Linked DNA regions of Saccharomyces cerevisiae S288C. The main gene of each other region encodes a partner of the protein of the gene in region 2 in a complex. Each region holds a gene or a part of one and is shown on either strand. Other genes may lie near its edges. A codon is read from its position in the direction of its gene.

Region 1 (4,283 bases), on a different chromosome or scaffold from region 2:
ATCGTTGATTCGCCTTTATATATTCTTGTATTCTTTAAGAGACATGCATTGCGATAATTTCCCCATGATATTCTTAACCTTATGAAGGGTCAGTCTACTGGAAGGTGCATGAAATATGAGTGAACGTATTTTCATTAGCAGATGAGAGACACCGGGATTAAAAAAACTATGTGAAGAATAGTGTTGATATATGATAAAATTATTGTGGAAATCAATAATTAAGAGGTTTTATAGTGTAGTGGTTATCACTTTCGGTTTTGATCCGAACAACCCCGGTTCGAATCCGGGTAAGACCTATTTTTTTCCCCCGCTCAGCTAACTTGTATTTTTAATAGATCTCCCACCATCAGAGGACGAAGAGAGAACTGTATTATCAATTGTGTTTTATTACAATATATTCTAAAAACGAAGATATAGATGTTATCTAGAATTGGTTTTTGTATGTAGCCCTTCTCTCCCGCTTTCTCACTTTTTGAACATTACCTCACTACAGTTGCCATTCAACAATGTAACGAACATTATCCGTAGGTAAAATTTACGACACTTCAAACTTCTAGAAGGAAATAGGCATATACTACGGAACAAAGACAGCCTCTTATTCGTTTTTAAGTTTTTTCTTCTTTTATTAACAAAAAAAAAAATAAAATAAAAAAAATCAATTGAAATTAGAATAGAGTAGAGTAGGTAGAAGTAATATGATGTAAAAAAAGGAAACAAAGATTAAAAAGATGGAAGAAATGGAGAGAAAGAAAATAAAACTTCTGAGAAGAAAATTTTGATAAAAATTATAATGCCTAGTCCCGCTTTTGAAGAAAATCAATGTAAAAATTGTAAAATCTGTTGAGTAATATTATACAATTCCAAACTTGCATCCTCTACAGGTTGATGTTCAGATCCTGTGTCATTGTTATTACTGTTGTTATCATTCGAGCTTGGATTGTTGTTGCTCCCCGGATTTTTAACATCAATTCCTGATCTTTGTAAACGCTCAAAGGTCACATCTGCCATTTTTCTCACTCCGTTAATGATGTCGTCATCATTTTTAACCAAATCTTCCACTTTATCATTATGACTTTCTAGCAATTGTAAAATTGTCCATAGCGCAATGTGTTCAAAGGTAGCATAGTCACTTTTCAAAAATCTAATCAGAAATCCACGAATGCCTTCATTCGGACGATCCCATGCTTCAATAATTTTTGTATAATTATTCACTCTTGAACATAGATTTGCCAAAGCAGCAGCAGCATTACCAGAAACTTCTTGGTTCTGGGAAAAAGTCATAGGGATTAAAGCATCTAAGATATTTGCTTCCAGTAGATCCAATTTGGAGACATCTGCTAGGGCTAAAATAGCAAAACATGCGGAAATTTCACTTTGAACACTAACAGGTGAATCTAGAGCCAGTTCCTTACATTTTTCGACAGCACCACTTTCGAAGAACTCTTTTCTGTTTTTTTCAGATGATGCAGCCAAATTTCTCAAAGTAGATACGGCGTGACATTGAATTTCTTCTGAATCCTTATAGTCCAACAATCTTACTAATGGTTTTAAGAAACCTGCATCAACAATTAAACCTTCATTTAGAGGGTGAATAGAAATGTTTCTAATGCATGCCACACTAGCCAAAACCAGTGGTATAGAATCACTTTGAATCAACTTTACCAAATGAGGCAACCCACCAGCCCTTACAATTTCTAATTGGTAGCTTGTATCGGACGCTAGGTTTCGTAAAGCCAAAGTAGCTTGACATTTTACCCTTGAAGATGGAGAATCCATCAGACTAACCAATTTGGAAACCAATCTTGGCTCAGTTTGAGCCAACTTCTTGCGATTGGCTTCATCCACTGCTATATTTGATAAAGCAGTAGTACAATAGTACTGAACATCAGGATCGGTGGACGACAGTAAAGATACCAATACAGGCACAGCACCTGCATTAACCAATTCTTTTCTATTTTCCTCAGAATGTGTCATATTTAATAATGCACCTGTAGCATTTCTCTGAACTCTTATATGTTTGGATTTAGCTAGCTTAGTCAATGGAATTAAAGCACCAGAAGTAGCAATCTTATGTTTATTGTCATCCCTTGTGGCTAAATTGGTAATGCATCCAACAGCATTACATTGAACTTCTACATTGTCACCCATCATTTGGTTTATTAATGGCTCTAAGCCTCCCATTTCCACAATTAATAATTTATTTTCATTATTAACGGCCAAATTACCCAAGGCTGCACAAGCGGCCACTTGAATCTGTGGATCTTGGCTTTGTAATAATATTAAGATGGGTTCCAGTACCTCTCTAGAGACCTGACGGACGTATTTTTCAGTAATTTCTGCGAATGCCAGAGCGGCGCTCCTTTGCAAATTTAGATTATCTGAATACACCAAAGTAGTTAGGGCCTTTAGTGGACCACCAGAGTAAAAGTCTAATTGGTCTTTATCCTCCAAATACCCTAGTAATAAAGTCACCGCTTCTCTTTCATTATCGGCAATTGGTGAGACACTGGCCTCGTCTGAAGAATCTTTCAAGCAACTACAACATGAACCCATAGTTGCAAATGTATATATAGTACAGAAGAAAGAACACCCTTATAGTTTGCTCAGTTCCTGTCTTCGTAGGATTGGAAATTGGCTAATTGCTTTTTATAGGGTTGTATAAATATATAATACCTTATTTTAACAACAAAAGGAAAAGTAGGAGATTGAACAGCGAGTCAACAAAAAAAAACAGAAAGCAAAGCAGACTCACACAAAAATTTGATCACAATGACAGCACTATTCTGCCTTGAATTGAGAACTAATATATTTCTAATAATGAATGATTGTATTATTATCAATTACTGGAAAGGGTTCATTTTTTCTTTCCACTCGTATTTTTTTCCTTTTCGTTTTGAGTCCTCCTTAAGGGCTCATTACCCGGGAAAGAGAAATTATTCAGATTTTTCTGTTATACCGTTACCTTATTATATAGATGTTCGCAGTTTTCATATTTGTGAGAGCCAACACATTATTGCATTACCGCTACAGATCCCACTTCCTTACCGTATGCTTATACGTATGTATCCAGTTTAGGCTAAAGTAATTCTTGGTTTACAAATCTAATAGCAGGGACCCGTCAGTGACGAAAAGATCACAGTTTTGGAACTTACGCAAAGAAGTTCTCTGTGAATAGGCGCCCTGTGGTATACCTATATCAATCAAAACAGCATCTTCTAGACTTGGCAAATTTGCAATTAAGTTGTTGATGGCAATCAAAGGCCAGCCAGAACAAATAATTCCTGTTGCTTCAATCCTGTCTGAAAAGAAAATATCTGGCATGCCGGATCCCGCATCAAACCCATTTGGAATATCCAAAGACCACACTTTAGTAGATCCTCGCTGTTTGTTACACCATGATATCATGCTTTTAATTCTGCTTTCAATAACTTCCGACGTCCCCGCCAGATCGCTCAATGTACAGTCATATCCCTGCATGGCATCGATGACTATTTCTACAGGGCTATTTAATGTTTCCATAGCAGATTCCAGCGACGATACACTATTAACAATTTTTCCGCCACACTTCTTGTAAATATCTGTTTGCTTTTTGACCATGGAATCCTGTAGTTCATTTTGAGAACATGTAAATAATGTTATGACACGGATATGCCCCGTTTGGCAAAGATGTCTACCCAACGCCAGAGCTTTCGCACCAGATCTGTTGGAATCTGAGGCTAGTATTACTACTAAAGGTTCCGGATTAGAATTTTGTAAACGTAAACGTGCACGGCCACCTAGTTTCTGCTTTAAGAAGAACGATGCGTTTACAGCAAAATTTTCTAGTAGCCCTGCCGAGTTAATACTGAAAAATTCGGACGTGATGCTCTCCATTTCTAGTAGTTGTACTGGTGTAGCCATAGGAATGTTCTGCTTAGTGTTCTTTGATCTGATGGTTGTTTGTTTATTTGCAGCTGGCAAGGATGTTGAGTTGGATCTTGACTGGCTGATGATCATCTGGCCTAATTTAGCTAGTACCTGATCCTTATCATTTATAACTGTACCTTTCGTTTTATCATTTATGGATGGAGAGTTAGTTGCAGAGTGAATTAAATGTGTAATATTCAAAGACTGAGTTATTGGTAGGTATTTGGGATCATCGATATCATCGACATCGTATTCATGTTCATCATCTTCCAAAACCAGATCATCTTGAGCATCTTGTTGCGGCTGAGATTGGTGTGTGCTTTGCTCATTTCTTGAAGAAATCTTGTTCCATGAATCTTTCTTTGCATCTGGAATAA
Region 2 (4,277 bases):
CTATTTCATCATCTTCACCCTCTTGCATAGATAGTTGTGCAAGATCCTCTCTCAATTTTGCTTGCCTCCTCAACATTTCTAATCTACCTTGTATACCGAGTAGAACAGGCAAGATCTCCTCTGAAGATCTTAATGCAGATTTTAAATGCTTGCAATTTTTCTTTGTATGTTTATCCTTTATAGAATTTAACTCCCCACTTTTCAAAGTCAGCAACCACTTAAGCCACAACGGAAGTAAATTTTCTTCATTCCATGGATTTTGTGTTATTGACTTTGATATAGTCAAAAATATCTTACTTAGATGATCTACTGTATTGATCTTGGTTAAGATGAATTTTTTAATCTCTGGTTCTGTCCAACTTCCAGACATCAGATCATCCAATATTTCTGTTGAATTAGCTTCTAAATGCGATGAGAGAATATTAGCAATTTCAACTTGATCTGATTTACTAACTTTCTTGTTTATCTTAGTTTCAGTCTCCTTCTTCTCATGTTGAACTTCAGGCTGAGCTTCTTCTTCTTTCTCTTCTAATTTCTTTTGGTCCGCTTCATCAGCATTATTTTTTTCATTTTTGTTTATTGTAATATACCCCTGAGTTTCAATTTCTTTTAAAGAAATAGATTCAAAGTTGGGTTCATTGACATTTAGCCATGAAATTAGAACCTGTTGCTTGCTGTTTATTGGCGTGAAATCTATAATTTCCAAATCTTCATTTACAACTATAGAACAAACTTTGTCGGCTTCGCCAATCTTATAATTATTAATTTTACCATCAGTAGTCAAAGCCATTATCAAATCATCTAAAGTTTTCAATGTCTTCACTTGGACAGGCCATGATTGGATCAGCTTTGAATCTTCCTTCAAGTCGTAAGCTATTAATTCTTCGTTGTTGGCAATTAACAGATACTTACCGTCTGAAGAAAATTCACATGCTACAGCGTCTGATATTTCAAAACTATACTTAGTAGAGGGTCTTCTCTTTGATGGATCAACAATATAAACCATCTGTTTAGTAATAATGCATACCAATAAAGTGCCATTTTGGTGCAAAATTTGGAAATGAACTATTTCGTCATCTTTACCATCAACTAGCGTAAAAGTCTTTAGAGGTTTCGAATTGTTATACTGTAATTTCTTAACGACTTTATCACTATCCAAAATCCATATATCAGACTCGTCTGTGTCTGCTCCCAAAATCTCTTTTTTATTCTTGATGATATTAACTATATCCTTACCATTAGAAGAGTAAACAACAATTCTTCCGTCAGGAAATCCGTTAACGAAAAAGTTTTCACATCTTTGCTCACTTGATTCACCAGTTCCTTCATCTTCATCTAATTTTCTTTTGATATTGGATGACTGCGTATCTATCAAATCACTACACCACCCAAAGAAGATTACATCTGAAACCTTCATATCGTTTGTCTCATAGTCAATATGACTCACTAATGAACTATTGACCACATAATCCTTAGTTTCATTTAATGGATAAATATCCACATTGTTCTTTTGTGCGACGCTTGCTTGGAATGCAAAACGAGTGGAATCATGCGAGAAGCTCGCCACCAAATCCAAAGAGGAGCCCATTGTGCACTACGGTATGTATATACGTGGAGAATGCCCGGCGTTATATATTGCAACGGAGTACTAATATGTATTTCAACTACATAAAGTTACTTGAAAACTCCATCTCATCGTTAAATTTTTCAAAATTTTTCATGTTTTCTTCTCACCTTTAGAAGAAAAAAATTTTCGCACCTCGTTGTAAGTGACGATGATAACCGAGATGACGGAAATATAGTACATTAGTATCTAAATGGTTGAGAGTATGCTTGTTCAGTGTTCACTTGTGCATCTAGATTACTAGATTTTGTGGGAGATACTTGTATATGCAACAATGATGAAGGCTGGTTTAACGACTTAAGGTCTATCGAGCCCTTGAATGATATGGGGAATGATGTACTTGATTTAAGGGAAGAGGTTGTTCTGGTATCCCGTGAGAGAGAGTCAGGCTCTGCAGTACTTTCCTTTCGGCATTTACTCTGCGACTCAACTTCTGAACTGGAGCTGCAATCCTTTTCCCGGTTATTATCATCCTCACCGTCTGCTTCTCCATTCGGTTCATTTTTGTCTTCTTCCAATTGCTTTTCCAGGTGACAACCTAACAAATCTTCACTCCCTACTTGGTTTAGTGCATTTTCGCTCTTGCTTGTCAAATGGCTGTTACTGTGTTCCTCTTTGGAGGTAAACTCATGTTCCCCTTCCAAAACGTTCATGTCCTTATAGCTTAATATAATAGGTTCGGATCTATTTTTACCAAATTGCAATACTGCTCTTTCACCATCGTTGTAATGCTTCAGCCTCCTTTCGTTTTCAATAAGATCTACATTACAATCGTTATCCTTATCTTCTAGCGTGGTCTCGCGATCACCGTCCAGTACAGTCCACGCGATAGGTAGTAGAAAGGATAGGAGTAGTATAAGAACGTATATTCGTGTGTCCAATTCGCTGGATTGTCTGGAAATGAAATTAAATACTTTACGCCAGCTCAGTTCACCAGCGTCGGGTTGTTCCGCAGTTAAAGCCTCACGCTTATTATCTACCAAGTTTTTCAACCTATCTATAGTGAAAATTAACTCATAGTCCACTTTCTGGGGCTCTATCCATCCCTGTCTTTCCAAATGCTTACGAACTGTTTTTTCAACACCTTTCAAAACGGCTACAGAAAGACCTAACGAAAAGATTCCACGAACCAATGGGGGACGAGTCATGCTTATTATATTTTACAATTATATTTGTAGCTTTTTTGATATTATGCACACACGCAAACGCAACAGTTGTTGGTTCCAATTTTTGTTTGGTTTAATTCCTTCTCTTCCCACACACTCTCTCACTCACAAAAATCTGGACAGAAGAAGCCTCACCTTTTTGTTTTGCAGCTCCTCTTCCCCTTCTCTCCTTCATAAGGGGGTGGGTCCTGATATTTTTCGTCTATTTTTTTTCAAATAGGATTTTCCGCAGTGTAGAAAGAAGAAAGATGCGTCACAAATTAGATAAACTGATAGAAAGAACGATGCTATGTAAATGCATATGTACAGAAAGTGACAGGAGTAGGTATTCCTCACGCGATAGCACCGAGACTCATCAAAATCACCTGGAGTATAAGTTGCAGTGACCAAAAGCCCACCCTTCTCAAGCGTAATGTCCTCTTTTCATCGTCAGCGACGTAGTCGGCGAAGGCATCGTACGCTTCCGCACTTAGATCCCGCATAAGGTATGAATCATATATGGTCCAGGAGCCCTCAAAATCAGACTTTTTCTTTACAATGCGGCATTTGATTGGGATGTATGTCCTGTGAGAATTGATGTACCCGACAATAGGCCTTATCAATGCACTATTGATATACGTTAAGCCAGAAGTGAACAGAGGGACTTCGGCTTTGACATTGTATAGTCTTAAAGAAAAGTCCATAATAAAGTAGTCGTTCGGGTCAATTTCATCAACGGCCGGGGAGAATCCTGGCCCAACCAGAGGAAGGGATGAAGTGTACCTTTTCGCTTTTTTGATTAAGCGGTCACCGATCTCTGTGAGGATTTCTGTCAGTTGCAGCGAGTCAGACGCGGCATCGTCATCTGGTAAAAGAACGTCGCCAATCATGTTCACGCGACCTTCGTTGATCCATCCAAAGGGTCCTTCGATACCGGCGTTCAGGTGATCGATGTCGAGATTGTCTACCCTAAACCTTGTCATTTGCTTCCATAGCAGCGTGGGGTCCTGATGCTGATCATCGGTTCTGAACTTCTTGTGGATAGTGAACATTGAATTGTCGTAGGTCCCATTGATATTGTTCGCATTCAAGATATCGTAGAACAACCAATGTTTTCTCAATTGCGGTAGATCGCAATTAAATATACTCACCTGGAATGGCCTGAACCCATTTGGCTGGTACAGTGTACAAAGGACATCGTTCATGGTGAATTTTGATATTTCAAAGTCGCCCGGCTGGTAGACGTTCAGATAGTTCTTAGGATCGTCGTCCTTTTTCCACACCACGTGTGTTCTGTCTATGACTCCTCTAAGCCCATTTATGGTCACTTCGTCTAGGATACCCTTCCCATTTATCCACTTTCTGAAATTCAACGATATGTCGACTTGGTCAATGGTCAGATCAAACTGTGTATAATTGCCATTATCAAAGTCCTGTTGGTTAACCAATATTCTCTCACTAAGGGCCAACTTCGCCCTTTGCAGGGCATCCTGCTGTGAACCCTTGGT

What was found. The genes of interacting proteins can lie anywhere in the genome.
Region 1: the proteins of NVJ1 (region 2) and VAC8 are in contact, whole or in part, in a crystal structure (PDB 5XJG), measured with the Saccharomyces cerevisiae proteins. Residues at the interface, in NP_012065.3 of Saccharomyces cerevisiae: Leu292 (codon at 1,899), Leu293 (codon at 1,896), His294 (codon at 1,893), Ile295 (codon at 1,890), Gln296 (codon at 1,887), Val297 (codon at 1,884), Ser298 (codon at 1,881), Pro299 (codon at 1,878), Thr300 (codon at 1,875), Lys301 (codon at 1,872), Ser302 (codon at 1,869), Ser303 (codon at 1,866), Asn304 (codon at 1,863), Leu305 (codon at 1,860), Asp306 (codon at 1,857), Ala307 (codon at 1,854), Gln308 (codon at 1,851), Val309 (codon at 1,848), Asn310 (codon at 1,845), Thr311 (codon at 1,842), Glu312 (codon at 1,839), Gln313 (codon at 1,836), Ala314 (codon at 1,833), Tyr315 (codon at 1,830), Ser316 (codon at 1,827), Gln317 (codon at 1,824), Pro318 (codon at 1,821), Phe319 (codon at 1,818), Arg320 (codon at 1,815), Tyr321 (codon at 1,812); in NP_010903.3 of Saccharomyces cerevisiae: Leu69 (codon at 2,349), Ala72 (codon at 2,340), Glu73 (codon at 2,337), Glu76 (codon at 2,328), Val103 (codon at 2,247), Ala104 (codon at 2,244), Cys106 (codon at 2,238), Ala107 (codon at 2,235), Gly110 (codon at 2,226), Asn111 (codon at 2,223), Lys119 (codon at 2,199), Glu141 (codon at 2,133), Asn145 (codon at 2,121), Gly148 (codon at 2,112), Cys149 (codon at 2,109), Thr151 (codon at 2,103), Asn152 (codon at 2,100), Ala154 (codon at 2,094), Thr155 (codon at 2,091), Arg156 (codon at 2,088), Lys160 (codon at 2,076), Arg182 (codon at 2,010), Arg185 (codon at 2,001), Asn186 (codon at 1,998), Gly189 (codon at 1,989), Leu192 (codon at 1,980), Asn193 (codon at 1,977), Thr195 (codon at 1,971), His196 (codon at 1,968), Arg201 (codon at 1,953).

Annotation. Positions count from the first base shown.
Region 1 is NC_001137.3:127,095-131,377, reverse strand, and holds VAC8 (protein anchor VAC8), read right to left. Parts: upstream 2,554-4,283; coding exon 817-2,553; downstream 1-816. Other genes in the region: YEL014C (uncharacterized protein), read left to right, coding at 2,770-3,075; EDC3 (Edc3p), read right to left, coding at 3,094-4,283. UniProt on the Saccharomyces cerevisiae protein: Functions in both vacuole inheritance and protein targeting from the cytoplasm to vacuole (cvt). Involved in the formation of nucleus-vacuole junctions (NVJs) during piecemeal microautophagy of the nucleus (PMN).
Region 2 is NC_001140.6:489,242-493,518, reverse strand, and holds NVJ1 (Nvj1p), read right to left. Parts: upstream 2,773-4,277; coding exon 1,807-2,772; downstream 1-1,806. Other genes in the region: UTP9 (Utp9p), read right to left, coding at 1-1,588; MDM31 (Mdm31p), read right to left, coding at 3,123-4,277. UniProt on the Saccharomyces cerevisiae protein: Involved in the formation of nucleus-vacuole junctions (NVJs) during piecemeal microautophagy of the nucleus (PMN). NVJs are interorganelle interfaces mediated by NVJ1 in the nuclear envelope and VAC8 on the vacuole membrane.